Linked DNA regions of Saccharomyces cerevisiae S288C. The gene in region 1 interacts genetically with each later gene. Each region holds a gene or a part of one and is shown on either strand. Other genes may lie near its edges.

What was found.
Region 2: mutations in PRS4 (region 1) and IPK1 together harm fitness more than expected from each alone (negative genetic interaction), as found in Saccharomyces cerevisiae (4 studies listed by BioGRID).
Region 3: mutations in PRS4 (region 1) and VIP1 together harm fitness more than expected from each alone (negative genetic interaction), as found in Saccharomyces cerevisiae (3 studies listed by BioGRID).
Region 4: mutations in PRS4 (region 1) and MEK1 together harm fitness less than expected from each alone (positive genetic interaction), as found in Saccharomyces cerevisiae (3 studies listed by BioGRID).

What each region holds. Positions count from the first base shown.
Region 1 is NC_001134.8:88,347-95,882, reverse strand, and holds PRS4 (ribose phosphate diphosphokinase subunit PRS4), read right to left. Parts: upstream 3,470-7,536; coding exon 2,489-3,469; downstream 1-2,488. Other genes in the region: ubiquitin-specific protease UBP13, read left to right, coding at 1-2,244; AST1 (Ast1p), read right to left, coding at 3,853-5,142; YBL071C (uncharacterized protein), read left to right, coding at 5,352-5,660; KTI11 (Kti11p), read right to left, coding at 5,657-5,905; YBL071C-B (uncharacterized protein), read left to right, coding at 6,327-6,425; 40S ribosomal protein eS8 RPS8A, read left to right, coding at 6,758-7,360. UniProt on the Saccharomyces cerevisiae protein: 5-phosphoribose 1-diphosphate synthase involved in nucleotide, histidine, and tryptophan biosynthesis. Active in heteromultimeric complexes with other 5-phosphoribose 1-diphosphate synthases (PRS2, PRS3, PRS4 and PRS5).
Region 2 is NC_001136.10:1,092,241-1,095,106, forward strand, and holds IPK1 (inositol pentakisphosphate 2-kinase), read right to left. Parts: upstream 1,347-2,866; coding exon 501-1,346; downstream 1-500. Other genes in the region: RAD34 (Rad34p), read right to left, coding at 1-271; OMS1 (putative RNA methyltransferase), read left to right, coding at 1,523-2,866. UniProt on the Saccharomyces cerevisiae protein: Has kinase activity and phosphorylates inositol-1,3,4,5,6-pentakisphosphate (Ins(1,3,4,5,6)P5) to produce 1,2,3,4,5,6-hexakisphosphate (InsP6), also known as phytate.
Region 3 is NC_001144.5:934,035-943,799, reverse strand, and holds VIP1 (inositol polyphosphate kinase VIP1), read right to left. Parts: upstream 6,260-9,765; coding exon 2,819-6,259; downstream 1-2,818. Other genes in the region: YLR410W-A (gag protein), read right to left, coding at 1,001-2,317; rRNA-processing protein UTP21, read left to right, coding at 6,567-9,386; BLS1 (Bls1p), read left to right, coding at 9,547-9,765. UniProt on the Saccharomyces cerevisiae protein: Bifunctional inositol kinase that acts in concert with the IP6K kinases to synthesize the diphosphate group-containing inositol pyrophosphates diphosphoinositol pentakisphosphate, PP-InsP5, and bis-diphosphoinositol tetrakisphosphate, (PP)2-InsP4.
Region 4 is NC_001147.6:992,831-1,000,802, forward strand, and holds MEK1 (serine/threonine protein kinase MEK1), read right to left. Parts: upstream 3,682-7,972; coding exon 2,188-3,681; downstream 1-2,187. Other genes in the region: CIN1 (Cin1p), read left to right, coding at 1-3; MNE1 (Mne1p), read right to left, coding at 34-2,025; TFIIH complex subunit TFB6, read left to right, coding at 4,383-5,414; SOG2 (Sog2p), read right to left, coding at 5,623-7,972. UniProt on the Saccharomyces cerevisiae protein: Probable protein kinase required for meiotic recombination.

The DNA.
Region 1 (7,536 bases):
ATGATCAGAAGATGGCTAACTATAAGTAAGTCTGGGAAGAAGAAAAAGGCTGTTAATGATACCATTACAGAAGAAGTAGAAAAGGTTGACTTTAAGCCTGTAAACCACGATATAAATGATGAACTCTGTTATAGCGAATCATCCGATAATCCCTCTAGCTCATTGTTTGTCTCTAATTTGGATACCAAGGAAACTTTTTTGAATGAAGACAATAATTTGCAGATTTCTTCCGGACTAGACTATTCTTCTGAAACGTGCAATCAAGGCAGTAATTACAGCCAGGATGGGATATTTTATATTTCAAACGCAAAGGCTATAAACGCATACGGAGGCATTATCACGCAAGGGCCCGAGGCACCCATATTAGCTATGAAGGTGTCCGACTCAATGCCCTATGGAGACGGCTCCAACAAAGTTTTTGGATACGAAAATTTTGGCAATACATGTTACTGTAACTCAGTTCTTCAATGTCTCTATAATCTGTCCTCATTACGTGAAAATATATTGCAATTTCCAAAAAAATCAAGAGAATCTGATCAACCAAGAAAGAAAGAAATGAGAGGTAAGAAACCAAGAATATTTACCGAAGCAAGTTTTGAGAAAAGCATTGCTGGTACCAATGGACATTTGCCTAACCCTAAACCTCAATCTGTTGATGATGGAAAGCCTACCCCTGTAAATTCTGTAAATTCAAATACAGCTGGGCCTTCAGAGAAGAAGAGTAAATTTTTTAAAAGTTTTAGCGCGAAACATGTACAAGACAATAATAAAAAGGAAGGAAGTCCTGCTATATTAACCACTGGAAAACCCTCTTCTCGTCCTCAAGACGCACCTCCATTGATAGTCGAAACACCTAATGAGCCTGGTGCTCCGAGCAGATTGAGTTTCGAGAACGTCACAGATAGACCTCCGGATGTTCCGCGTAAAATAATTGTTGGCAGAGTTCTCAATTATGAAAATCCTTCAAGAGGTAGCAGTAATAGTAATAACCTGGACTTGAAAGGAGAAAGTAATAGCAGCTTATCCACTCCACTTGATAAAAAAGATACTAGAAGATCTAGTTCCTCTTCTCAAATATCCCCAGAACATAGAAAGAAATCCGCACTTATTCGTGGGCCAGTGCTCAATATTGACCATAGCTTAAACGGCTCAGATAAGGCTACTTTGTATTCCAGTTTGAGAGATATCTTTGAATGCATAACTGAGAATACGTATTTAACTGGTGTTGTATCGCCTAGCTCTTTTGTTGATGTTCTCAAAAGAGAAAATGTATTATTTAATACTACTATGCATCAGGATGCTCACGAATTTTTCAATTTCTTATTAAACGAGTTGAGTGAATATATAGAACGTGAGAATAAAAAAATAGCAGCCAGTGATATCAACAGCGATAGCGAACCGAGTAAGAGTAAAAATTTCATCAGTGACTTGTTTCAAGGCACTTTAACGAATCAAATAAAATGTCTGACGTGCGATAACATTACATCTAGGGATGAGCCATTTTTGGATTTCCCCATAGAAGTTCAGGGAGATGAGGAAACAGATATACAGGAAATTTTGAAAAGTTATCACCAGCGAGAAATGCTAAATGGCTCAAACAAGTTTTATTGTGACGAATGTTGCGGTTTACAGGAGGCAGAGAGATTAGTTGGTTTGAAGCAATTGCCTGATACTTTAACATTACACTTGAAAAGATTCAAGTATTCTGAGAAACAAAACTGTAATATTAAGCTTTTTAATAACATTCACTATCCTCTGACGCTAAATGTTTGCTCTTCAATAAATTCTAAGGTTTGTCAAAAGTATGAATTGGCTGGGATTGTCGTTCATATGGGCGGTGGGCCACAACACGGCCATTATGTTTCCCTATGTAAACATGAAAAGTTTGGCTGGTTGTTATTTGATGACGAAACGGTAGAGGCAGTTAAAGAGGAAACAGTGTTAGAATTCACAGGTGAATCTCCAAATATGGCAACAGCATATGTTTTGTTTTATAAAGCGATGTATTCAAACGCTGTTGAAAAGAATGATCGTGAAAATATGGCAAAAGAACAAGATGATAATATAGACAATCTAATCAAGTACGATGATTGGCTAAGAACTTGCAATAGTGGTCAAAAGAAAAAGGAAGAGCTGCCTATAGCAGACGATTTGGATACTGCTATAGACGACAGCTTTGTTTCTAACACACCCATAAAGTCTTCTAAAAAAAAGTCGAGAATGTTTAGTTTTAGGAAAAGCTGAAAAATATTTGCATATCAAGGAAGGTAAAGGTTCACCGTCTCCTTTAAAACTATTTTTTCTCTGACAGTATTAATTTAATTCTTACATAAATATAATATCTTTAATCTTCTTTTTTTAAACCGGCTCCGGAACCTTTTTCTTAAATTTATAGTTTTGTCTCAGTAAAAGGTTTTCTTTTAAACTAATACAATTATGAAGTATTTAGGCATGCAAGCAATCAGGAATCTAAGAATAAAAAATTGTCCTATACTGGAGCATGGGTGAACAAATATGACACGGATTCACCATTGTGTAGTCTTCTTATAGCTTCAGCGAACGTGGGACTAATATCGATCTGGTCAGCAATAGGTAAATCCAAATCTACCGGAACGGTATTTGTGCAAACAATTCTAGACAATCTACTATTTCTTAGCTTTTCTCTTGCTGAACCGGAGAAAATACCGTGTGTAACAATAGCTATAACTTCTTTGGCACCATGCTCCATCAACGTATCACAAGCTTTTACCAACGTACCACAAGTATCCGCCATATCATCAACTAATAAACATGATTTATTGGTAACATCACCAACAAGCACCATTTTTGAAACCTCGTTAGCTTTTTGCCTCTCTTTGTGAATCAAAGCAAAATTTAAATCTAACTTGTCAGCCAAAGCAGCTACTCTCTTAGCACCACCTGCATCAGGCGACACCAAAATAGCATTGTCGAAATCTGTTTTCGTTCTAATATAATTTAAAACACTTGGTTCTGCATATAGGTTGTCAACCGGGATATGGAAAAACCCTTGAATTTGGGAGGCATGGAGATCCATTGTGATGACATGATCAGCACCAGCAGTTTGCAATAAATTGGCAACCAACTTTGCGGTAATGGGCGCCCGGGATTTATCTTTCTTGTCTTGTCTTGCATATGGAAAATTGGGTATTACAGTAGTGATCTTTCTTGCAGATGCAATTTTGCAAGCATGAATTAAAATTAATAATTCCATCAAGAAATCATTAATTTCTTGTTCACCTATTCCAGTTTGGATAATATACACATCTTCGTCGCGAAGGCTCTCACCTATGGTGACAGAGGTTTCTTTATTAGAATACTGGTACACACCAACTTTGGAAAGTGGAATACCTAACTTTTTCGATATTTGTTCAGCCAAATCAGGATGGGAGTTTCCCGCTAGCAATTTGATACTATTTATAGCCATATCTTCTCGAGACTCTGAATTCATTTTTGCTGGAGAAGCCTTGTGGAGTTGAAGCTGAGAGTCTATGTGCATTATGTAGTCTACCACATGCTCAAGGTCGATGACCATATAGGACCTTGAAATATTTTCGTCAGGATTTTTCAATGACCGAGAAGTAAAAAAAAAGCAGAGAATCGAGCAGCAAGGCTGATTTGCTAACAAATCCAATTGATATCATCGGCACGTGCTTAACTAAGGAGCGAGACTCATCTGCTTCAATTGTTACAATATTTGATTATATATTAAAATAAATGGTTATGTACGTACAGAGAACGCCAGGAGAAGGTGGGAGGGGGAAAATATTAAGCATTAAATTATGAAGTTCATTAAGTTTAAAAATAAAACATATTGTAAATGTAAGTGGGTATCTAGAATTTTTCGACGTTCATGATTAACTTTCCTTGGGCACGTTGAGTGGCCATATAAGAAAATGCTTCTTTATGGTCTTTCCAGTCATAAACTTTGTCGACGACACATTTTACAGTACCGTTCTTCAAAAAGTCGCCACATTGCTCAATCCAATCATTATTGGCGGAAGCCGTCTTTGCATTCGGATCAAAATAGTAATGTGTGTAGTTATATGACCAGATAATAGACCCGAACATTTTTCTTGCATTGGCACTTGGGTTATCCCATGAATCGAAAATGTCTTCTTTATAATTGGCAACGTAATCACCTACAGTGGTTACGTACGCACCACCGCCGTGAATCAATGAACTAGAATGACTCAAAATATCGTAACCACCGACAAAATCGAGTACAACATCGAACTTCCCCTCATTATAGTTAAGTATAGTTTCCTTATCCTCGACCGGATCATACTGAGAAATTTTCTTTTCTTCGAGCATTTTTCTTAGTGGTTTACTAGATTTACCCCTACACGTTAAGTAATCGATGAAAATCATTTCATCAGCCAGATCAGGAAATTTCTCCTGTAAAACTTGGGGCCCATTTGCAGACGTTACAATCACTAGTTTTTTCTGTAACTTGTAATGACGCTTCAATAATTGTATGACAAACATCCCCACTGACGAAGTTCCACCATTAATCAAAACGTTTGAATCTTGCTTCAAATACTTGTTCTTGGATAATTTATTCAGAATATTATAGCCGGTGGCCAGGCAGAATAAGGAGCCTGCAGCTTCTTCGGCGCTAACCGATTCTGGTCTCAAAAGGATTGGGTCCACCTTTGGATCTACTAAGATTGAACTTTGCAAACATCCCACGGCCAAATGAGGGTGGTAGTATATACCGTATACTTCATCACCCACGTGCCAGGCGTAGTTTAGGTTCTCGCCTACCTCAGTGATAACACCACTGTACTCTCTCCCCAAGCCGATCTCACCGTAAATCGACGATGTGTAGCCGTTCCTGATTTTCATATCTACAGGGTTCAAACCCACATTACTTACTCGAACTACAATTTTGTTCTTAGGAATAGGCGTCTTGATCTTCTTTTCATAAGAAAAATCCATGGGCCCTGTTTTAGTATGGAATATCAGCGATTTAATTGGAATGAACTTTACATGTCTTAAAGGTCTAGCGACTCTTTTCAAAACAGGAGCGTCCATAGGTATCTCTTTGGGAGCAGGCGCCGAGTGTTCAACGATCATCGCTTGCAATTTAGGGTCCTGGTTCTTCAAAATATCTTTAGCCATTGTTCAACGTTTGCCTCTTGGTATGCAATGTCGTATTTGTAGCTTCCGGAATGCTCGACAAGGTGGGAATATACCTGAGCTAGCTTTGATTATAATATGTACTTTTATATATTTTCTTTATTTTTCATTATTTTGACAAAAAGCTAATTTGATAATGTCAACAGAAAAATCCCTCGCCTTTCCGGTGAAATTTGTCACAGCCATTTGAGATGATATTATTGAAATCTGAGCATGGAGGAAAAAGAAAAGAGATGCGACAAGATGATTTAATGGGTCCAAATCATTTTAGCCTACGTATCATGTATAAAATAATCATATACACCTACCCAGTATCCTTATATGCAGTAAAAGAGCTCAACCTGAGCAAAACGTTTTCCATCAGTGCACTTGGAATTTTGAATAGTAATTCCAACCGGAGTCCAGCGAAGAAGCAAACCTTCTTTTCTGCTTGCGTTGCTAAGTCATATAGCTCTTTCTTTATTTCTATTTGTATTCTCGATCTAGCCTCTCATCTTTAGGCAGCAGCGGCAATAGGCTCAGGGGGGTGGATGCCTGCCTCTTCGTAGTACTCAGCCAAGTCTTCTTTATCGAAAACTACATCGATCATCAGTGAGCAGCTGGGACAAACAGCAACTTTTTCGCCCTCAAACATGTCATCCAGATATATTTGAAACCTATCTCCACAGGGACAAGGATAGGTGAACATTTGATTTTCAGGCTCAAACGTCATATCTTCGATTTCGATTTCGTCATATGTTGACATTTCAGCTGGTAATGTATTGTACAAATGATGTGCTTACAGTCGTGGTATGTATGTGTCTTTGAAAAAAAAAAGCGATGAGAAGCTCTTTATAGCGATAATATAGGTCCTTTTTCGGATTTGTCTCCACCCATTTCTTTTTCATCTGCTCTAACTTTTGTGACTTTACATCCATACACCCTCTTTAACACCCTTACACTTTTACAAATTTTCCTTTTTCATCAACTTTAAAATTATTGCGTGAGAAGTTCCTATTTTCTGATTTTCTCAGCGGAATAACCTTTTAGAATCCTGAGCTGCGAGCAGAGCGGCCTCGCCAAACCCGTGCTGGGCCTAGTTCCCCCCTCCATGTTCGGTCCTACACACGAGCATCGCTGGGAAAGCTTGAGGGCTTTCTCTTACGCAGTGTTCATGGTGTTACGGGATGGAACTGTTTCATATACGTTATTTACAGGCCTATCTTAAAGTTATAGGAAATTACACTTGCCATTTGCTTTTTGGTACTCACAAGAAGACGTTATAAACACACCAGGACAAAAAGTATGTGCTATGGTCATATGAGTAATGGAACTACATATTATTTTGAATGCTACAGGACCTCTCTTTGAATGGAATAGATAGTGGAAAAAGTAAACTTAACTAAAAGGGATGATATAAATTGTGACAGGAGCAGTGCACTAAACTGAATCCTTTGTGTACCCAAAAAATCAAGCCTCTTATGAAACGCCGAGTTTTTCACAAGAAGAGATGAAAAGAAACCAAAGCATATTTCAAGATAAGAAAAAAATTCCGCAACTTTTGTACGTTCTTTATTTTACTAACAAGCGTCATTAAATTTTCTATTACAGTTACAAAATGGGTATTTCTCGTGATTCTCGTCACAAAAGATCCGCTACCGGTGCCAAGCGTGCTCAATTCAGAAAGAAGAGAAAGTTCGAATTAGGCCGTCAACCAGCCAACACCAAGATCGGTGCTAAGAGAATTCACTCTGTTAGAACTAGAGGTGGTAACAAGAAATACAGAGCTCTAAGAATTGAAACCGGTAACTTTTCTTGGGCTTCTGAAGGTATCTCCAAGAAGACCAGAATTGCTGGTGTTGTTTACCATCCATCCAACAATGAATTGGTTAGAACTAACACTTTGACCAAGGCTGCCATTGTCCAAATTGATGCTACTCCATTCAGACAATGGTTCGAAGCTCACTACGGTCAAACCTTGGGTAAGAAGAAGAACGTCAAGGAAGAAGAAACTGTTGCCAAGAGCAAGAACGCTGAAAGAAAGTGGGCTGCTAGAGCTGCTTCTGCCAAGATCGAATCTTCCGTTGAATCTCAATTCAGCGCCGGTAGATTATACGCTTGTATCTCTTCCAGACCAGGTCAATCCGGTAGATGTGATGGTTACATCTTGGAAGGTGAAGAATTAGCTTTCTACCTAAGAAGATTGACTGCTAAGAAATAGATGAAATGAAAATACTACCAATTTTTTCTTCTCTTCTCCTCATCTCTTCATATAGTCTTATATATCATATATGCTATTATTATGTGTGTTTAATTATCATATCATTTTACCATCTTTTTCACAGGCGGTGTCTGCTGGAAAACACACTTCATGCTCTAAATTTTTCAATTTAGCAG
Region 2 (2,866 bases), on another chromosome or scaffold:
AATTGAATGCTTTTTTATTATGCTTTCTTTTGTACTTGCTGACTTTCTCCCTGTCTCTGCGTATATTGCCAAATGTGACAGTTAAGCTTCCATCTAAAGAAACTTCTTCCCAATCAATATCACTTAAATCATCTTCTTCATCCTGGTAAAAACTATCAAAAGAATCATCTGTTTCTTCCTCCTCATAAAACGATACTTCTTTCTTCTCAATCTTTGAGTTTTTTCGATTGGCCTGATCATTTTGGCTTGATTCTAACAGTCTCTTGGCCATTACTTTTCTTCTCACTATTCCTTAAACTCATGTATGCTAGGTTTCAAGGTTTGACCCTTCGTTGAATATCGAATTTGGTCATTCACCCTGGCTTGTGTGTTTTCCGTTTTATTATTTACATTTTCCAGAGGGCCACTAGAAAAAAAAAATACTTATCTATCCATATATTTTACAAATGGTAATGTATGTGCATCTGCCAGTACCAAAGGTGGAAAGAAAAGTATACAGTTTATTTATTTGAAGTATGATAAATTTTTTGGCTTGATGTCAACTGGCTGTAAGTTTTTGTCCAATGGGTCCATTTTTCTTTTGGCTTTAGATCTACATCTATTATATTCACGTGCAACGCATTTTCAGCACTGTTCCATTCAATGAAACATGTCACGTCTCTGAGTGTCATGAGTAGCAGATGCTCATCGTTTACATCGTTGATTGATTTTATGTCACTTATTGGAGTTGTGTTCTTTGTAAGTTTTTTCTGTAAATCATAAAGGATCTTGAAAATGTTATTGTCATTGCGCAAGTACTCATGCATGGCATCTTTAAACTTAACCGGAAATATATTACATTCTCCAAATATTAATTCCAAGTGTGCTGGATTCATTAGTAATTGATTGTAACAGTACTTAGTGCCTCTACCCTTAAATGCATTATGAGTACAGTTCCTACAGTAATCTGTATCATAGTATAACCATTTAGGCTTCAATTCTAAAATAACTGTTTGCAGATTTTGTGAACAATAAGATTTTAAAAAGTGGTTATTTAATATCAGATTTGAGGTATTATTGGTGAGATTTTTAATTTTGATAACTTTGACTACCTTATCGTCTAAATTTAGAATAAAGTCACTGAGAATTGGCCTTATAGCTTCTATATCGACGTCAATCAGATACATCGGGCAAAGCAAGCCATGTAGAAGAGGTTCTACATAATCTTTAATATAACTGATGTTTTTGATTGTATAAGAATTATTTGATGATAACAGATCGGGCCAACGGATGCAGCATCGCCACAACCACGTAGGATCCCCATAATCAATCAGTATATTTGCCCCACCACGTCCGATGACTTGCATCGATCTTTCTTTTCAAAAAAGGAACTTATCTCTGACAATTTTCGACTGGTAGCATATCACGGTTCGAATTAATTTTGGAAACCCTAAATGGGACCGCATCAAAAAAGTACCTTGTGAAAATATCTTCGATAAATAAACCACTGAGGAACGAACAAGAAAACCATAAGTAAGTGAGGATGATCGTATTTCGTCGCTTTCCTACGTGCCTTTTACATCACATTCGACAACCGGCATCCAGGAGTCTTTTGTTGGAATCACAAAGGCGATCATTATCTTTTACATCTTATAAATATAACAGCAGCCACATTGATGATGATAAAAGTAAAAAAAAGCTTAAAAATGTTTTCCAAATGAATAGCAATAGAGTCATTCGTAAGCAAAAAACAAAAGAAGAATTGGCCAAAGAGAGGTTCGAAGAACAACTGAGGTCACCTAATAGATTTGTGAGGTGGGGAGCTATTGCGAGATCAGAAAAGTTTTCAAAGGGAATGACCAAGTACATGATCGGTGCTTATGTGATATTTTTAATCTATGGTCTCTTCTTTACCAAAAAACTGTTTGCGAAAGACAAAGAACTGGAAAGATTGTTGAAGAAACAAGAAGAAGGGAATGCCAATGAATACGAAGCATTAAGGATTAAAGAATTGAAAGGAAAACTAAGGAGGAGAGATGAATTGAAATTAGAAGAATACAAAAAAATGCAAGAAGAAGGCATTGAAAACTTCGATGATATTCGGGTACAGAATTTTGATCAAAACAAATTGAATGAACAAATATTGCCAGCAAGAGACACAACAAACTTTTACCAAGAAAAAGCTAACGAATATGATAAGGCAATTAATATGGAAGAGAGAGTAATATTTCTCGGTAAAAGAAGGAAATGGTTAATGAAACATTGTCAAGGGGATGTTTTGGAAGTTTCATGCGGTACAGGAAGAAATATCAAGTACCTTGATATGTCACGCATCAACTCTATAACATTCTTAGACTCTTCTGAAAATATGATGGAAATTACACATAAAAAATTCCGAGAAAAGTTTCCTAAGTATAAAAAAGTTGCATTTGTTGTTGGAAAGGCGGAAAATCTAGTAGACTTAGCAGAGAAAGGTAAGCCCTCTCTAGAGAATGAAAAGGAAAACCAAGTAAAATATGATACTATCGTGGAGGCGTTTGGTTTGTGTTCCCATGAAGATCCGGTTAAGGCACTTAATAATTTTGGCAAGTTATTAAAGCCAGATGGAAGAATTATTTTACTGGAACATGGTAGAGGTCAATACGATTTTATAAATAAGATATTAGACAACAGAGCTGAAAGAAGACTGAATACTTGGGGCTGTCGATGGAATCTCGACTTAGGCGAAGTGTTAGATGATTCTGACCTAGAATTGGTGGAAGAAAAACGGACTCACTTAGGCACTACTTGGTGTATCGTTGCAAAGAGAAAAGGTGATGTGAAAAAGAAAGACGAGCTTGGGTTTGTAGAAAAATACTTGCAATCAAGTATTAGAAAGAGAATGGAA
Region 3 (9,765 bases), on another chromosome or scaffold:
ACGATTTAATCGTTCAGCGACACCGTGTGCTCTAGAATCTGCCGTGGTTGTATAGCATGCAGTAATACCTCTGTTCGTAAAGAACTTATGAAGAGTTTTGTTAGTGTACTCGGAGCCACGATCCATCTGGATAACTAGAACGCGAGCATTGAATTGGTTCTTAATAAATGCTAATATCGATGTAAAAACATTGAGGATAGATTCTTCACGACGGTCGTGTAATGGGTACACCCATTGGAATCTGGTTTTCTCATCTGTAAACGATATAAAGTAAGAAGGTGCACTTTTCGGTAAGTGATGTACAGGACCAAATATATCGGTATGCAAGTACTGAAAAGGCTCATATGATTCTTGGTACTTTAGTCGTGATCCTTTGACATGTCTATGTTTCGTGCTTTTGCCGATTAGACAGTCAGGACATTGATATGTGCTAGCGTTAGACCATTCAATATCCGATTCCTTCAAATATGTAACTGCATTCTTCTTAAGAGACTTCTGAATACTTCGGAAGTTAGCATGTCCAAGCATTCGATGTATTAACGGATATGGATATTTATTTACGCTTTTGCTTTTGTTGACGTTGTTTATTGTTAGCTTTGAAATGTGCGAAGGAATTAGGTATTTTTTAGATAACCAGTAAAAGTCTCCATGTTTGACTATGGGAGCTAGTACTGTACCATCCGATCTTTCTAAAGTGTTTCTGGTAAAGCAGGCAGTAATATTTTGGTTAGCCAGCTCACTCAAACTTAATAGATCATAGGCTATGTTTGGTGTGTGTAGTGCTTTTATTGATGTTTTGGTGCCGTTCTGAAAGTTGAAGTGAAGATTACCAATGGCATTTATAGGAATGTCTTGTTTTTGAGCATCGACTATGTTTATTTCAGAATTGGGTGTTGCATGGTGTAAATAATGGGCTGATCTGACAAGCGTTTGCGAAGCTCCTGAATCAATAAGAAGGTGATCAGGTAGTTCGTCATTCGAGTCTATTGTGTGTGTTGGCTTAGATTCTTTCTGTTGCTGGCCTAAGACTAAGTTCGTTGTCATCGCTTAAGTATTGTGATGAAACGGTTGATTCATTAATGTGATCATTGTTCACCCTTGAGAATTTACTAGATGTAGCAATATTGTGAGCTTTTGCTGCTCTTGGTTTTGAACTATTTGTTCTATGATAATTACGAGTTGTAACCTTTGTGTTAGTCGTGTTTGGAGATGTGCGAGAAACATTTTTGTATTCGCTGTGTTGTTTGTATTGGGACGGTTTATTTAGATTCATGATTTTATTTTCGTCATATATTAATTGAATTTCAGCGAATAATTGGGAAAGTTTCATGTTCGTTTTGGTACGATATTGATTACGTAGGTATTTGAAGTCACCGGATAGACCTTTAAGTATTAGTTGACAGGCCAATCTGTCGCTAACATTGATATTGTTTTCTTTTAGCCTCTGAATGATCGTACTGACTGTAATTTCAAATGTATCAGCAGATGTACTTCCGTCGTACTCAAGGTTGGCAAGAGCTATCCAATCCTTTAATTCTTGATTGTTAGTTTGCATTTTGGACACACTTTTACAAAGGACTGTAAGGATGTCAGCATAATTAATTTCTAAAATTTGTTTTACCCATGTTGGCAATAAATGAAATGGGGCAAATGCTTGGAAGGTATTGTATATATACGCATGTTCTTCATAAGTCATTTGTCTTTTGATTTCACCCTGGTCATTTGGAATGATGTCACCGAGATTAGAGTTCTTCAAAAATCTGATGTAAAATTTAACCCATGTAGAAAAGTTTTCTTCTGATGTTAAAGTGTGTGGTGGTAAGACGTTATTTCCCACCTTTGTCTTAGCTTGAGGTATTTCAGAGTGTTGATTTTTTAAATCGATTGGATCAGGTGAGGAAGTACTCAGTGGTGGGATATACTGTGGCAACGGATAGTGTGGGTCCGGTTGATAATACGCAGGTGACGTTTGATAATGTGAACACGTCATCATAGATGGTTGTTGGTAATGTGCCCAGTTAGAGGCCATAGCTTTGTTTGGGGTCATCATGCCGTGCTGTTGGTACTGTCCATTCTGTGGAGGTGGTACTGAAGCAGGTTGAGGAGAGACATGATGATGGTTCTCTGGAACAGCTGATGTCCCAGGTGTTGTCTCTTGTTGAGAATTAACCTTAGTGGAATCTCTATCAAATTCCGGTAAATTGGAAGCTGAAACGGCTAACGGATCTTGATTTGATGGGACTTCCTTAGAAGTAACCGAAGCATAGGCGCTACCATGAAGAGAATGTGGATTTTGATGTAATTGTTGGGATTCCATTTTTAATAAGGCAATAATATTAGGTATGTAGATATACTAGAAGTTCTCCTCGAGGATTTAGGAATCCATAAAAGGGAATCTGCAATTCTACACAATTCTATAAATATTATTATCATCATTTTATATGTTAATATTCATTGATCCTATTACATTATCAATCCTTGCGTTTCAGCTTCCACTAATTTAGATGACTATTTCTCATCATTTGCGTCATCTTCTAACACCGTATATGATAATATACTAGTAACGTAAATACTAGTTAGTAGATGATAGTTGATTTTTATTCCAACAAGAAGGTTGCTCTTTATATAGGTATATGTCACTAATTAATGTGCTCTGACGCATATCCTTATGGCGCTAATTTGCTCGTCTAAGGGTTCAACGAAAACTCCGGACCTAAAGATCGCGAGCAAAATTCAATTAAGTTTTTTTTTTTTAAAAAAAAGTTGAGTAAATACTTATTTAGTTTTGGGTTACTAAATTAAAAATTGGGTGTGATCACTAATCTAATGTCTTGTTAACGGAGGTAGATGATGAAGATCCGGACGAGGCAGGACGTTTCAACTTCTCAACAGATACCGACTTTCTTCTGGTTTTGCGTTTCTGGAAACTCAAGTTGGGGCTCGTAATGTTTACTGGTGTAAATTTCGGAGGCATAATGACCCTGGTAAATTTGTTTCTCAATTTCTGTTGAACATAGTCCATATCCAAATGCTTCGTCAGGGAAATCTTTGGAATACAACTAATATAATGCCTGTCATCTAATTGAACATCTAACGGATCTTGAGTATGACACCCAGGAGACATTTTTAGTCTAATGGAATGCGATTTTTGACCAGAAGCATCCGTACTCTCATAAAGTTCAAAAGTGATCTGCGACAAGTAGTCTAGTTCTGGTAAAGCATTTCTAGCGATTCTCATTGGAATACCAGATTCGTATATGATATTCAATAGAGTGTAAATATGGGACTCTTTGGTGAAGTACGCAACACAAGCTGGAGTTTCTCTATTTTTCATGTCTCCTATATCATTTAGTATTTGCTTTGCCAAAGGCAACGAAGTTAACAAACCGATATCCAGTTTCTCTGCATCTGAAATACCATATTCTTTGGGGCAGATAAAATCAAACAATACTTTGGCCAGCTTATACAGCTCCCGCAACTGCATAAAGCGTGGCTCATCGAATTGAGAAGAAGATTTGGGGTTTCTTGCTGTAGATGTTTTTCCGCTTTCCAGAACCCATCCTAACGACCCAACACTATTACTACTGTTCTTTCCAGAATTGTTCATGCTATGACTGTCTATTATCTTAAAATTATTTTTGGCGAGAACGTTAATTGGGTATCGGTCAACTAAAGAATGACTGCCGAGTTCATCGGCGATAGCTTCATTTGGAAGACCCGGGTCAAATATGTTCTCTAGGAACTGCCTGTTGTGAAGAGCATCATACTTCATAGTATCATACAATTCAGAAATTTTAGAAGGATCGACTTTTTCAGCATTATTGAATTCTTTGAAAAGTTTATCCCACCTTTCCTTAAACAAACTAGGATCTTCAGAAGTACACCATCTTGTTTGCATCGAGTTGACATCCTTTTTAGCAAAGTTGTTATCCATAATTTTTTTATGGTAATTCATCAATTCAACCACTCGCTTTATGACTAAATATGGCTCCGGCATCTTTGAAGGCCAGGCAAATTGTGGGGGAGCTTCCTTACCCTCTCTTAAAAGTGGCTTCAACTTCTTTTTCACCTTATCCATTAAATCTTTGGCGGCATTACTGTCATCTAAAAGATCCTTTCTAATACTGATTTCATCGCTACCTAATTCATCGGCCCCAAAAAGAGCTCTGGTCCAGTACTGCGCCGTATGAAGAACACGTCTCTCAGACGATGAAAATATCTTGATGTTTTGTAGAATGCTCTTATTCAATAGGTCAAAATCTTGTCTCATTTGCTCTCCGAGTTCCGTAGCCTGATATTTGGCAGAATGAGTGGGTTCACCACCCCATTTCAAAATAAACTGAACTTTTTCCACTTCGTTCTCTTTATTTAAAACCGGTTTCAATTGTATTTTCGTACCGGGAAAATTCAGTTTCTTTTCTAGAGCGTTTGCTAACACTTTAATTTTAGCTGGATTTCCTGCTTTTTCATCTAACGCAATTCTTAAGGCCTGAAGAACAATCTTTAAATCATTTACATTCCGAATGACAACTTCTTCTTTGTGACCTTTTAGTAACGATATAAAAATAGGCGAAGTGAATGAATGTTTGAATTTCTGTTTTGGTGTTCTGTCCGCGTGACGGATAATGATAGCCAGTCCTTTGAATACCCACTTTTGTTCCTTTTCTTCACGAATAATGGGCAGATTCTTCTTTTCCATATCCATCTTCTTTTTGGCTTCAATGAAGGTACTTCTCAATATATTGGCGCATGAATCATAGTAAGCTTTGTTATCCTTTACAAAAGAAAATCCGTTAACATCAATGACGTAACTTTTACCAGAAACGCGAAGCAAATCGAAACCACAGATCATTTGTGAAAAAGCTTTGGAAACTTTCCCAGCAATGGTTTTCTCTTCGTCTGATAACTCAGTAATATATCTAACTTCTTTACCATGAGTATTTCTTCTAACTATACCATCAACCACAGGTGATTTCCTAGTTTCAGCGTGACAAAAGTTCTCACCAATCGTATAAGCCTTCACATCTTCGAAATTATCGGTATCCATAAACTGCTCATAAATGTAAGACCCCTCCGTACGAGGATGAACCAAAGTAGGATCAAACTCAGAAGACTTGTTACCAACTTTACGGAATAGACGACGACCGCCTCCTCCGTTCTTAGAATGATAGTATATATAAATGTTGTGGTCTTCACCATCAACGGGCTTTTCAACAAAGGGCTTAGTCATGGTTTTCCCATCAACTTCTAAAGTATCATCATCAACCATTTTCCATTCCGGTTCTTCAACGGGTTTAACTTCTACGCCATGCTCACGTAATTTTGCCCTTAATTCTTCGTTGGCACGGGGACCACCATCTCTACTGATTTCCAGTCTAGGAGGTGTTGGAACGTTGTAGGCTTCTAATACTTGTAGACATAATCTCCTGTCCCACAAAATCTTTTGCATTATTAAATCATTGATAATGAAAGGCTTGCGTAACTTGACGTATTTAATTGCTTTATCTAGGGGAAATCCTGAAGAAAAGAAAGATATCAAAAAGTCGCAAGTTGGCCAATTCTCTATTCTTTCATCTAGAATCACCTTATCTCCAAAAATGACAGTTTCAAATTCACCATGTTCAATTAAACGATTCAAAATGTGTCTCATTGGCTTTGAAAGGACTTTTGCATCCATTGCACATACCCCAATCTTCCCTACCTTGGGTAGCCTAGGTTTGGGATGACTAGTCGAGGATTTGCGTGAAGAAGCTGATGAAGTAGGTACAGAGTTAGTTCCCATGTTAGTCTGCTCAGCGTCCATTGTTCCTTGAGGTAAATGGGGCGATCCGGTCTTGGAGATGGAATTTATGTTATCTGCATCATTGACTATGTTAGAATTGCTGAGCCCCTCAGGATCAGCTTCTGACTTTGATTCACTGTCTGCCTTTTTTAAACCGGAAGTTGTAACTGTATTGGTGTTGTTTCCGTTTCCTAGTGCAGTGCTTATGGTTCTTTGCAGAGTATCATGCACGGTGAGATTCTCTTCACTGTGATCATCTTGAATACCGGGAGGTGGCAATTTCAAAGACATATTTTCGCTAGCTGACGTCTTAGGACTGAAACCCTCCAATATTGGTGCAATAGATTGCATAGCCTTCTGTGTGTTTTTGTTTAGGAAAAGGGGTGACATCTCAGAAGGTGCACTAGGTAAGTTATTTTTTGTCTCTTGTTGAGGAACCTCATCAGATTCAATCGGTTCCTTCTTTATCCCACTCATGACCTTCTGCAATATATTAATATGCTACGAGATGCTTTTGAATTTGTATGAAATGCTCAGTGGGTAATTTAAGTGGTGAACATATTGATTCAATGATTAATTGCATTTTTCCTATCTTAAATAAATGATTTTCTAAAAACATTTTTGAGCACGTGCTTTTTTTTTTTTAACTGAAAAATTTTGAGAAAAATTTCGCGATGAGATTGCTAATGAAATTTAATAAGTCCTAAGCACAATAAATATACAGCGAAACAGCAGCAAGGAATAAGACACTGAAAAGGCTATAGCGAGTTAGGAATAGTACATTATGTCTATCGACTTGAAAAAAAGAAAAGTCGAAGAAGACGTAAGAAGTAGAGGGAAAAATTCTAAGATATTTTCCCCTTTCCGGATTATTGGTAATGTTAGCAATGGTGTTCCTTTTGCTACTGGTACATTGGGATCTACCTTTTACATTGTAACGTGTGTTGGTAAAACATTTCAGATATATGATGCGAATACCTTACATTTACTTTTTGTTTCCGAGAAAGAAACACCATCCTCAATTGTAGCATTATCAGCACACTTTCACTACGTCTACGCAGCATATGAAAACAAGGTTGGTATTTACAAGAGGGGTATTGAGGAACATTTGCTTGAGCTAGAAACTGATGCAAATGTCGAACATTTGTGCATATTCGGAGATTATCTTTGCGCTTCCACCGACGACAATTCCATCTTTATATACAAGAAGTCCGATCCGCAAGATAAATATCCATCAGAATTCTACACTAAACTTACCGTTACTGAAATTCAAGGTGGCGAAATTGTGTCTTTACAACATTTGGCAACTTATTTGAATAAATTAACTGTCGTTACCAAATCTAACGTTTTACTTTTTAACGTCAGAACCGGGAAGCTTGTATTCACATCAAACGAATTTCCAGACCAAATCACAACTGCTGAACCCGCTCCAGTCCTGGATATTATTGCTCTAGGTACCGTGACCGGTGAGGTTATTATGTTTAATATGAGAAAAGGTAAAAGGATCCGCACAATTAAGATTCCGCAATCAAGAATCTCCTCATTGAGTTTCAGAACCGACGGTTCTTCTCATTTGAGTGTGGGAACGAGCAGTGGTGATCTAATATTTTATGATTTAGATCGCCGTTCAAGAATACACGTTTTGAAGAACATTCATAGAGAATCGTACGGTGGTGTCACTCAGGCTACTTTTTTAAATGGTCAACCCATTATTGTTACATCAGGTGGTGACAATTCCCTGAAGGAGTACGTTTTCGATCCGTCATTATCTCAAGGAAGCGGTGATGTAGTTGTTCAACCGCCAAGATATCTACGTTCCAGAGGGGGTCATTCTCAACCACCTTCATACATTGCGTTTGCTGATTCGCAATCACACTTCATGCTATCAGCATCCAAAGATAGATCATTATGGAGCTTTTCTCTGCGTAAAGATGCACAGTCGCAAGAAATGTCACAAAGGTTACACAAGAAACAAGATGGCGGCAGGGTAGGTGGTAGTACAATTAAGTCTAAATTTCCTGAAATAGTGGCTCTTGCAATTGAAAATGCCAGAATAGGTGAATGGGAAAACATTATCACTGCACATAAAGATGAAAAGTTTGCAAGAACCTGGGATATGCGAAATAAAAGAGTTGGCAGGTGGACTTTTGATACTACTGATGATGGATTTGTTAAATCTGTGGCCATGTCGCAATGTGGTAATTTTGGATTCATCGGTTCTTCTAACGGCTCTATCACCATCTATAATATGCAAAGTGGTATACTCCGTAAAAAATACAAATTGCACAAAAGAGCAGTCACCGGTATATCCTTAGATGGTATGAATCGTAAAATGGTTTCTTGTGGACTAGACGGTATTGTTGGTTTTTATGACTTTAACAAGTCAACCTTGTTGGGAAAATTGAAATTGGATGCACCTATTACCGCAATGGTTTATCATCGTTCTTCCGATCTATTTGCATTGGCTTTAGACGACTTATCAATTGTTGTTATTGACGCAGTTACTCAAAGAGTTGTTCGTCAATTATGGGGTCATAGTAATAGAATAACTGCATTTGATTTCTCACCTGAGGGCCGTTGGATTGTTTCCGCTTCTCTAGATTCCACCATTAGAACGTGGGATCTTCCAACCGGAGGATGTATCGATGGTATCATAGTAGATAATGTCGCTACGAATGTAAAGTTTTCTCCGAATGGTGACTTGCTTGCCACTACCCATGTTACTGGTAATGGTATATGCATCTGGACGAACAGAGCACAATTTAAGACAGTATCGACAAGAACCATCGATGAGTCTGAATTTGCAAGAATGGCGTTACCTAGCACATCTGTTCGAGGGAACGACTCGATGTTATCAGGGGCTTTAGAAAGCAATGGAGGAGAAGACCTAAATGATATTGATTTCAACACTTATACATCATTGGAACAGATTGATAAGGAGCTGTTGACTTTATCAATAGGACCTAGAAGTAAAATGAACACATTGCTTCATTTAGATGTTATCAGAAAACGTTCTAAGCCAAAGGAAGCTCCAAAGAAATCAGAAAAGCTTCCATTTTTCTTGCAACTATCTGGGGAAAAGGTTGGGGATGAAGCCTCTGTCAGAGAAGGCATAGCACATGAAACACCAGAAGAAATCCATCGCAGAGATCAAGAAGCACAAAAGAAGTTAGATGCAGAAGAGCAAATGAATAAATTCAAAGTTACAGGAAGATTAGGGTTTGAATCACATTTCACAAAGCAATTACGAGAGGGCTCACAATCCAAGGACTATTCATCATTGCTGGCCACTCTAATAAATTTCTCACCTGCTGCAGTGGATTTGGAGATAAGATCATTGAATTCCTTTGAGCCATTTGATGAAATTGTGTGGTTTATCGACGCGTTAACACAGGGGTTGAAGAGCAATAAAAATTTCGAACTTTATGAAACGTTTATGAGCTTACTGTTTAAGGCACACGGTGATGTTATTCATGCTAACAACAAGAATCAAGATATTGCCTCTGCTCTTCAAAATTGGGAGGATGTACATAAGAAGGAAGACAGATTAGATGATCTTGTGAAGTTTTGCATGGGAGTGGCAGCTTTTGTGACCACCGCGTGAGCATTATATAGAACAAGTATATTAGTAACAAAGGCAGATTGTATATTTTTCTTTTTCCTATGATGTTTTTTGAGAGGGTAACCAAGAATTATTTATTGGGTTTGTTGCAGTGTTCTTAAAGGGTCCCTCCCACATTTAATAAATGATCGACAATAAATAAATGTTCCTTACATTCTCAATGTGTGTGAACTGGATAATCGTAAAAATGCCAAACAGGTCTGAAGAACTTGACCGATTACTCGACAAAATAATCAACTCTCCGCATAGAACAGAAGCCTCGAAGACTTTGCAAGAAATTGAAAATAATCAATCATATATTTTAAATGTACAGTTGAAGAAGTTATTGCGACTTCATGACGACTCATTTAAAAATAAGTGT
Region 4 (7,972 bases), on another chromosome or scaffold:
TAGAATGTAAACGGCAAATTTTACATATAATCATTATTTTTGTTGCATTTGCTTAGATCTTATGTAAGAAAATAGATTTTCTACTCTCTTTGCATAGGATACATCCGCAGCAAAATTATATTCCGCATCATTTGCGGTAAATAAAGCTTCATTCCGCATTTCTTTATCTCTTTTTGCTTTAGATTTTTGGAAAATTTCTGAATCCATATGAAATAGAGTTTTTCGCTCCCCAAAAATTTTGCGCAATTCCATTATGTTTATTGGTTGAATGGTCCCTTTTTCTGACTTAAATGGTTTATTCTCAACATACCATTCGCCGACGTCATCTGTTATCTGCAAAACTCTATCGGTGTTTTCTTGTATATCAATTTCTAAGCTGGATAGCCATTCAGAAATTGCATCTCCGATTTGTATTGGCAACCTCCACGAAAACTTATCACTAAACTTATCGAAAAGAAAAAATTTGTGACTTTGTGTAACCAACAAATTATAGAAAGCAAAATAGAAAAAATCAGAATCAGAGTAGTTTTTGCAGACTTTCAACATCGAGAGAAAATCGTGGGAGGTAAATTGATAGCCGATTTCATTCAACTGGTTATACAATGCCAGTAGAGTAAGTTTGGTAGAAATATCTTGAGAGGCGCCATGAAAGAGGCAATGAAAAGTGGAATTTTCTTTGTTTCCAACTATATTATCTGTGAGTAATAATGGCTGCCATAAATTTTTTTCGTATACTATGTGCTCGACCAATGAAAGCATAAAATCGAAATCCTTGCGCACAGATAAGTGACACAGTAGCATATCAATAAAAAAAGCTCTTAAGGAATGCAGGTTGGACTCAGCCTGCATTTGGTCATCAACCTCCTTAATGTGCTTTTTCCATACTTCTAAGTTCAGAGGCAAATCACTTAATTTAAACGATAGAAATTGAAGAAATGAATCTTGCTTGAGAGGTTCGAAATTATCTTTTGATAAAATATGTATGCTCTGCTTCAAACTCACGTCAGTTGGTAATTTTTCAAGTCCGAATTGCCTAGTGACAGCGGTAGTTGATGATAATCCATTCATGGTTTCAATAACTTTGAGGCAAGAATGGTTCTGGGATAATTGTATCAAGTTGGAGGAATCATGCTGATCAAAATGAAAGTTCCATTCAGACAAGCTCCTTAAAATCTGACAAGCTTCATTCTCCATATTTTGTGCTATCATTACTTTTAGACTTTTGACTAGGCATGGACTAAATAACTCCAACAATTGAATAGCTCTTTCACGCTCCTTCGAACCTCTTAAACCAGAATCCGGTACACATGAGGATAAAATATCCAACATACTTGTCCATTGGGAGGTCTCCACATAAAATGCCAGCTGGGATAAATTGGCTAATAATTGACCCTCCGAATTTTCCGCGAACAACCGCTGTATTGCCCTTAAGTAGTAGTTCGATTGGGATTTAACAATTAAAAGAGTACAATTCCTCAAAAATTTTATGTTTGCCCGAAATTTTCCTTCTATAGTTAAAGATTTGGTTTTAAGAAAATAATAGCGATCCAATAATTGCAATGAAAATTTAGCTAGTGCAATTTTGTCATTTGCGGACCGAAGCGATAGTTTATAGAGCATATTAGATAGCTCATGATAAAATTCCAAAGGCAGCCGATCAGGTGGGAATGCATCAATCTGTCGGCCACTTTTATTTAGCCATTTTATGTGACCTGTGCCAATACGATTCAACAACGCAAAATACAAAGCAGGATTATCGGATGTACGAAGCTTCTGTAGAGTAGTCAGTACCACATTTAATCGTAAATTTACATTTTGGAGCTTATCTTCATTCAGTTTATCTTTTCTTGTTAGCGCATCCTTCAACCATTTATCAGTTATTGAGTTAGTTCTTTTGTTATTTGGTAAACGTTTATGCGATGATGGCTGTCGCCCTAGCTGTGGTAGTATTTCAGGAGTGATTAAAGAGTCCTTAATCAGCTTACCAATATGACTAGACGAATATCTTTTAAAAAGTAACTTCATATTCTTCTTGGCACACTACTATCATTTTTTCTCGCCGTTTCTAGTAGAAAAGGGCAACTTTTACTTAAAAATCATACAATTGACTTACTTTTTTTTTTTTACACAGATACCTTTTTATTTTGAACTACGCGCAGTTTGAAAGAGGAAGAGATAATCCTATGATTACTCCAAAACCTTCTTCTTTTTCGGTATTGCCTGAGAAATGATAACACTTTTGGGTAACTTCCTTTTCCAGTCTGAATTTATACTTTCTAGTTTAGGGCCTTCGTTATTGCACAATATCTTTTTGTAATATAATCTCTCTAATTGACTTAAGTGTTTTGCAATCCAAATATGTTTGAGACCTTGCTTACTATTTAATCGTTTAACTACGTCAGTTTGCAAAAGGTCTTTGACAAAACTCTTGGCATTATCTGAAACAATATCCCACTGCTTCAGTTTGAAATTCAGCTTCCCAATTTTTGCATTTTGAATAATACTCCTCTCAGAACCATCTCCATAAAAAGGCGAGATCCCTGTTAACATAATGTGTGTAATGACACCCAAAGACCAAAGATCACATTTACTGTCATAACCTCGTTGCTCTAACGTAGCTGCTCTTGAGAAGCTTTGATATGCTTTTCTGTTTGCTCTGAATCCAACTTCTGGAGCGCAGTATTCCGGAGTGCCTACGACAGTATGCATTCTTTCTTTGTTGGAATTTAAATCTTTAGCTATACCAAAGTCTGCCAAGACGATTCTAGTGCACGGTTCTGGCGTACATAACAAAATATTGTCTAGTTTCAAATCGCGGTGAACAATGTCTTGATCATGAAGGTAGTTTAAAGCTTGCAAAATTTGAAAGACGATCAATAGCGATTCAGTTTCTGACATGGAAGTTAGACAGTCGCCTTTAGCTAGGTAAGAAAACAAATCACCACCAGGGATAAGATCCTGGAATATGTAAAGGTGATTGTTCCTGTCACAGAAAGTATGGTAGACTTTGATAATATTTGGGTGATCCAGTCTCAAAAGGATTCGAGCCTCTTTATCGAATTTATTTGGTTTTAGTTTAATGATCTTCACAGCATAATTTTCAGGGTGATAACAGACATCTTCATCACGTTCTTTTGAGTTATGCGTGATCAGAACATGACCGAAAGTGCCATTACCCACTATTCTATTTGTTATTTCCCATTGGTCTACTTCCCTCAGAAAACCCATTTGATCTAAAAGTTTTGGGTCCAGAGAAGATTGTAAATCATCATTAATCATAAAAACTAGTCGTGTTTTTTTAATGTCATTTTCTTCACTTCCCTGCGATAATTCAATAACGTCGCAATGTTTTAAAAGATACGTTTTGTCCCTTTTCAAAAGCAAACCGTTCAAATACGTTCCATTAAGAGAACAATCTTTAACGTAGAACATTGGAATACTATCCTCATCAAAAAAGACACACCAAAACACGCAATGAACAGAGGAGATAGAGGGATTCGTTAGAACGAGTTGACATTCCTTATCATTTCTCCCAACTTTCACGAGCTGATGCTTTACTATAGGTATTGTCTGCTCTGTATTATAGCCGCCTACATTAACTTCCAGGTGAGCAGGAGCTACGCCACCTGCCATCTCAATATCATCTTTGGTTGCAAGGTTGCAGCTATACAACGGTCTCATTCCGCTCTTCTTCTTTCTGTTGTATATTTGGTCCTTAATAAAATTTGAAACGTACAAGAGCACTCCAGAAGGAGCTCAAGTAAAAAATTAGTCAAACCTCTCCCTTTTATACTTGAATGAATGAAATAGCCGCCGAAATTTAGCCGCCATCATTCTTCTTTTCCCCGGCTAAATTACCACGGTATGCTTTATGATTGGAAAATACCCATAAAGTAGGAATAAACTACAAATGATTCCACTTAATGAAAGATAAGCAGACAAATATACTGCATATAAGTGAAAAATAGTGAGGAGATCGCTATCAGTCAATATTGTGAAGGACCTACCTACTCTTTTTCTAGATATATATTTTTTATTTGCACAGGACCCCTCTTGCATAATTGTTCCTACTAATACGGTAGGTAGCACACAATTTTACACCACTTGCTTTACAATCATACCTCATAGGGCCTTCTTATTCTGATAATGCCCCTTTTAGAATGGCTAAACTGCTTACGTCCCGCTTTCTTACGCACTGCGCGCAACATGCAGGAAGAACAAACAACCTCGCCCTGTTTCCATAATGAAGGTCCTTGAAATAGAAGCCCCACAAAAGGGTGGAAATGTGGCAGAATAAACAGTAAGCTAACTGTTGTAGAGACTCCAAGCCCTGGTAAGGAAAGAAATATTATAAAAATAAAAGATTTCAACACAGTATTTTGATGTCTGAGCCAAACACACCATTACATGCTCAACCGAATGAGCAACTGGACTTGAACAACTTAAATGATCTAGATGAAAAAGACATTGATGATTTAAACTTGGATCCAAACTCAGATGTAGAAATTAGTGCAGACTCAGGTGATGTCGTAAATTCTAACATAGACAACGTTATATGGCAGCGTAATTGTAATAAGAAAAGAAGATATCATACACCAGAATTCAATGATGTTTACAATGAAACTAACAACACAATCAACGACGTAACTATGCTCGATGATGTTGACGATTTCCAGCCTAGAATAAACGTGTCTTCTCCCTTTTCGTCTGCCACAAAGCTGAGTGAATTATTGCCAAATGATCACAATGGAACGTCACACCCGAGAAGATTGTCAATGTCTCAACAATCCAAATTCATCTCTTACGTTGATGATCAGCTTTTACAAATTCAAAGAAAATTTGTTCAATCCAGGGGCCTGAATATCAAAAACGGCTATGCCAGTCTTACTCCGCTGCTGCAGGATTTAAAAACTTTAGTTGACTTCGTTTGGTATTCTATTGCCCATGTTCCAAACTCAGACTATTTACTTCAATCAGAAGAAAAGAGACATTGCCCAGATTCCCGAAACCCAAAAGATACATGCGGATATTCTAGTTATTTTGGTCAAGGGTCCTATTTAATAAAAATTGCGGACGATCTCATCGATTACGTTGAAAAATTTACATTCAAAAATATGGAAGACTCAGAGATTAATGACACTTTATCCAAATTATTCAAACTCTTCTTCATCCTTGACAGGATATTTGTAATTCTAACTGATGATAATGATAATTGCAAAGAAGTCCCTAAAACGTCTTCAGCCAGCAAGAACATAGCAGGATTGAATGGGACTGATATTGTGAGGTTAAAAGGTATCGCGGAACGAACAAGAGTTCGCCTACCCATATTTTTGGAATCCCAGGGTATCCATGGTTACCATTATGAATTAAGCAAGATTTACGAGGGATTTTTAGACCATGCCAATTCATTTTAACATTTACATTCAACCAGTGGCGTGTATCTTTTATACAATAAATCTGTAACTTTTAAAACTTCTGTTTCCGAACTCCTCATTTTTCATGCATAAATATATAAATATATATATATATATATATAAAGCATACATTTCAGTACCATGGGGTATATGATCCTCCCATTACGTATTCTAAAGTTCGCGTTTTCTCACAATGCAAGTTTTTATATTACTCCGGAGAGTTGGCGCTTACTGATACAGCCTTGTATGAACTCAAGTCCAATATCACAGTGACATCCTTGGTAATCTTCGCCAAGTTGGCTAGGTTAGGTCTCAGCTCATTCAAATTAGGCACGTCGCTCATTACGATTTTAGTATTAGCCAGAATTGATATTATTACTTTTAAGAACGAATTCATTATCTCCCACGTTTTCAGCTTCTCCAAAGATGTCAGATACTTCTCTGAATTTGAATCGTTCGGTATTAATACATTTAACCTTTCATTCAATTGTTTGGATAAATCCATCGCTTGACGACATGTTTCCGTCAAATCACGAATTTTAGGTGCTAGCGAGTCCGTCAAAATTTGCTTTCCCATGGTGCTAGCAATGGCTATCTTGGATATCTCTGAAGTTAACTGGTTATATACAACGCTCACCATTTTAACTACTGTGGACAACGTTTGATACAGTTGAATGTCAATATTTGTCTCCACTACATTAGCACTACTGTTCGCGGCACCACCACCATTCATCGGTGGTGGGGTTATATTAACATTCGAGACGTTATTACTATTTGATGCGTTAATTATTGAAGAAGTCATAACCGGATGCTGTTTAGGTTCATGCGCCTGTGACTCTTTTTTCGAATCGCTGATGGATTTATTGTGCTGAAGCAGCTGTTGCCTTGGAATAGTATCGCTAGTAGTTTTTACTTCATTCATGTTCGTTTGAGAACTTCCATTGCTTATTGCATTTTGGTGTCCCAAAATTGGACCATGGGTGTGTGCACCATTTAGATTTGGTGATAAAAGAGGAACAGCAGTGGTATCACCCGTCAGAATATTACTATTTGAAAGCAATGCAGATGCAGATGGTGTTCTTGTGCTCCTTGTTTTCGGCAGTAATTTTATGTTTCCGCTACAATGTGTACTGGTCGTACTTGCTGCGGGTCCTCCACCGCTTGTGATACTACTGGACGATGTCTCGTGCCTCGAAAAAGAATGTTTCTTGGGTGCCTTACTTGCAGAACCGGACACTTGATCATCTTCTTTGATAAAAGACCATGCATTATACATTTCCATATAAGCACACATTAATGTCATATAAAACATCCTTATGAAGCATAGATCGTCTTCTTTGAAAAAAATCTCAAAATTTTTTCTCAACAATGTTATAATTTGTTTAAAATTTGTGATGATAGTGAGGCACAGCTTGATTAACGCCTGATCATGCGATTCGTCTTCGTTCTCTGTTTGCTGCAAGACCTCCACCAGATTATCAGTATGTGATCTGACAGAGTATAATAATGATACTACATTAACCGCTACGGCCTTCTCTTTACAGAAAGAGGCGATTTTTCTGATAGCTTGTTGGCATTCTGTAAAACTAAATAGGAGCTTCCGACAGGAAACAACCAACTCTGCATGCGATATTTTTTGATGCCCGTTACTCATTGACTCTTCTGGTAAAATCGACAACCTCTTGAAGTAGTCATTATATTTGGTGTGATTGTATAGTTCCGTACCATTCACTGCCCCACTTTGTTCTGATTCTGCATTGACTGTACCACTGAAAGATGTTGCAGAGGTTTGATTAGATGAGACCATTGCAGTAGATGCACTTATAGTTGTATTTGCACTTGGGGCAAGTGAAATTATATTGTTTTCATTCATTGCTCCATTAGACAAGTTCGTATTTATGAATCCCATTCTTTTCGCTGCTCTAGATATTTTAGGTTCTGGAGTAGGTAGGTTAGGATGATCTTTTAGATATCGTGATATCGCAATTGCCCAATATTCTTCTTTGGGGATGCCCGTATGAAATGGAGTATAACTCTGTACTTGGTCAAGCTCTTCTTTGGGTATTTTATTATCCTCTAAATCCAAGATGCTCAGCTTGTTTAATTTTGTGATCGATTTCAAATTACGTATGCTAGTAACGTTGTTGTCTTTCAATGATAATACACGAATATTATCTTGCCAAAACGATGATATTTCATCTGGCAATGCTTCAATCTCATTGGAGGACAGATCCAAGATCTCTAATTGAGGGCATTGTGTCAAAATATATGGGATTTCTTTAAAATTGTTATTATGCAAATCCAGATATTGCAGCCTTGATAACCTCTTGAAACTCGCTGGTAAGGATGTTAAGTGATTTTTCCTTAAAGACAGTCTTTCAACATTTTGGATATATCCCACATCTTCATCTGATATGGACTTGATATTAAGAGCTATTAATTTTAGTGTAGTACCACTAGAGCTGGATTTCTCTTGTGTTGCCAACTCAGATATTATAGTGTTGCTTGAATTAGTGGATGTTTTGTCAGCAGGCAAATGTTCCTCCTTCGGATCCAAC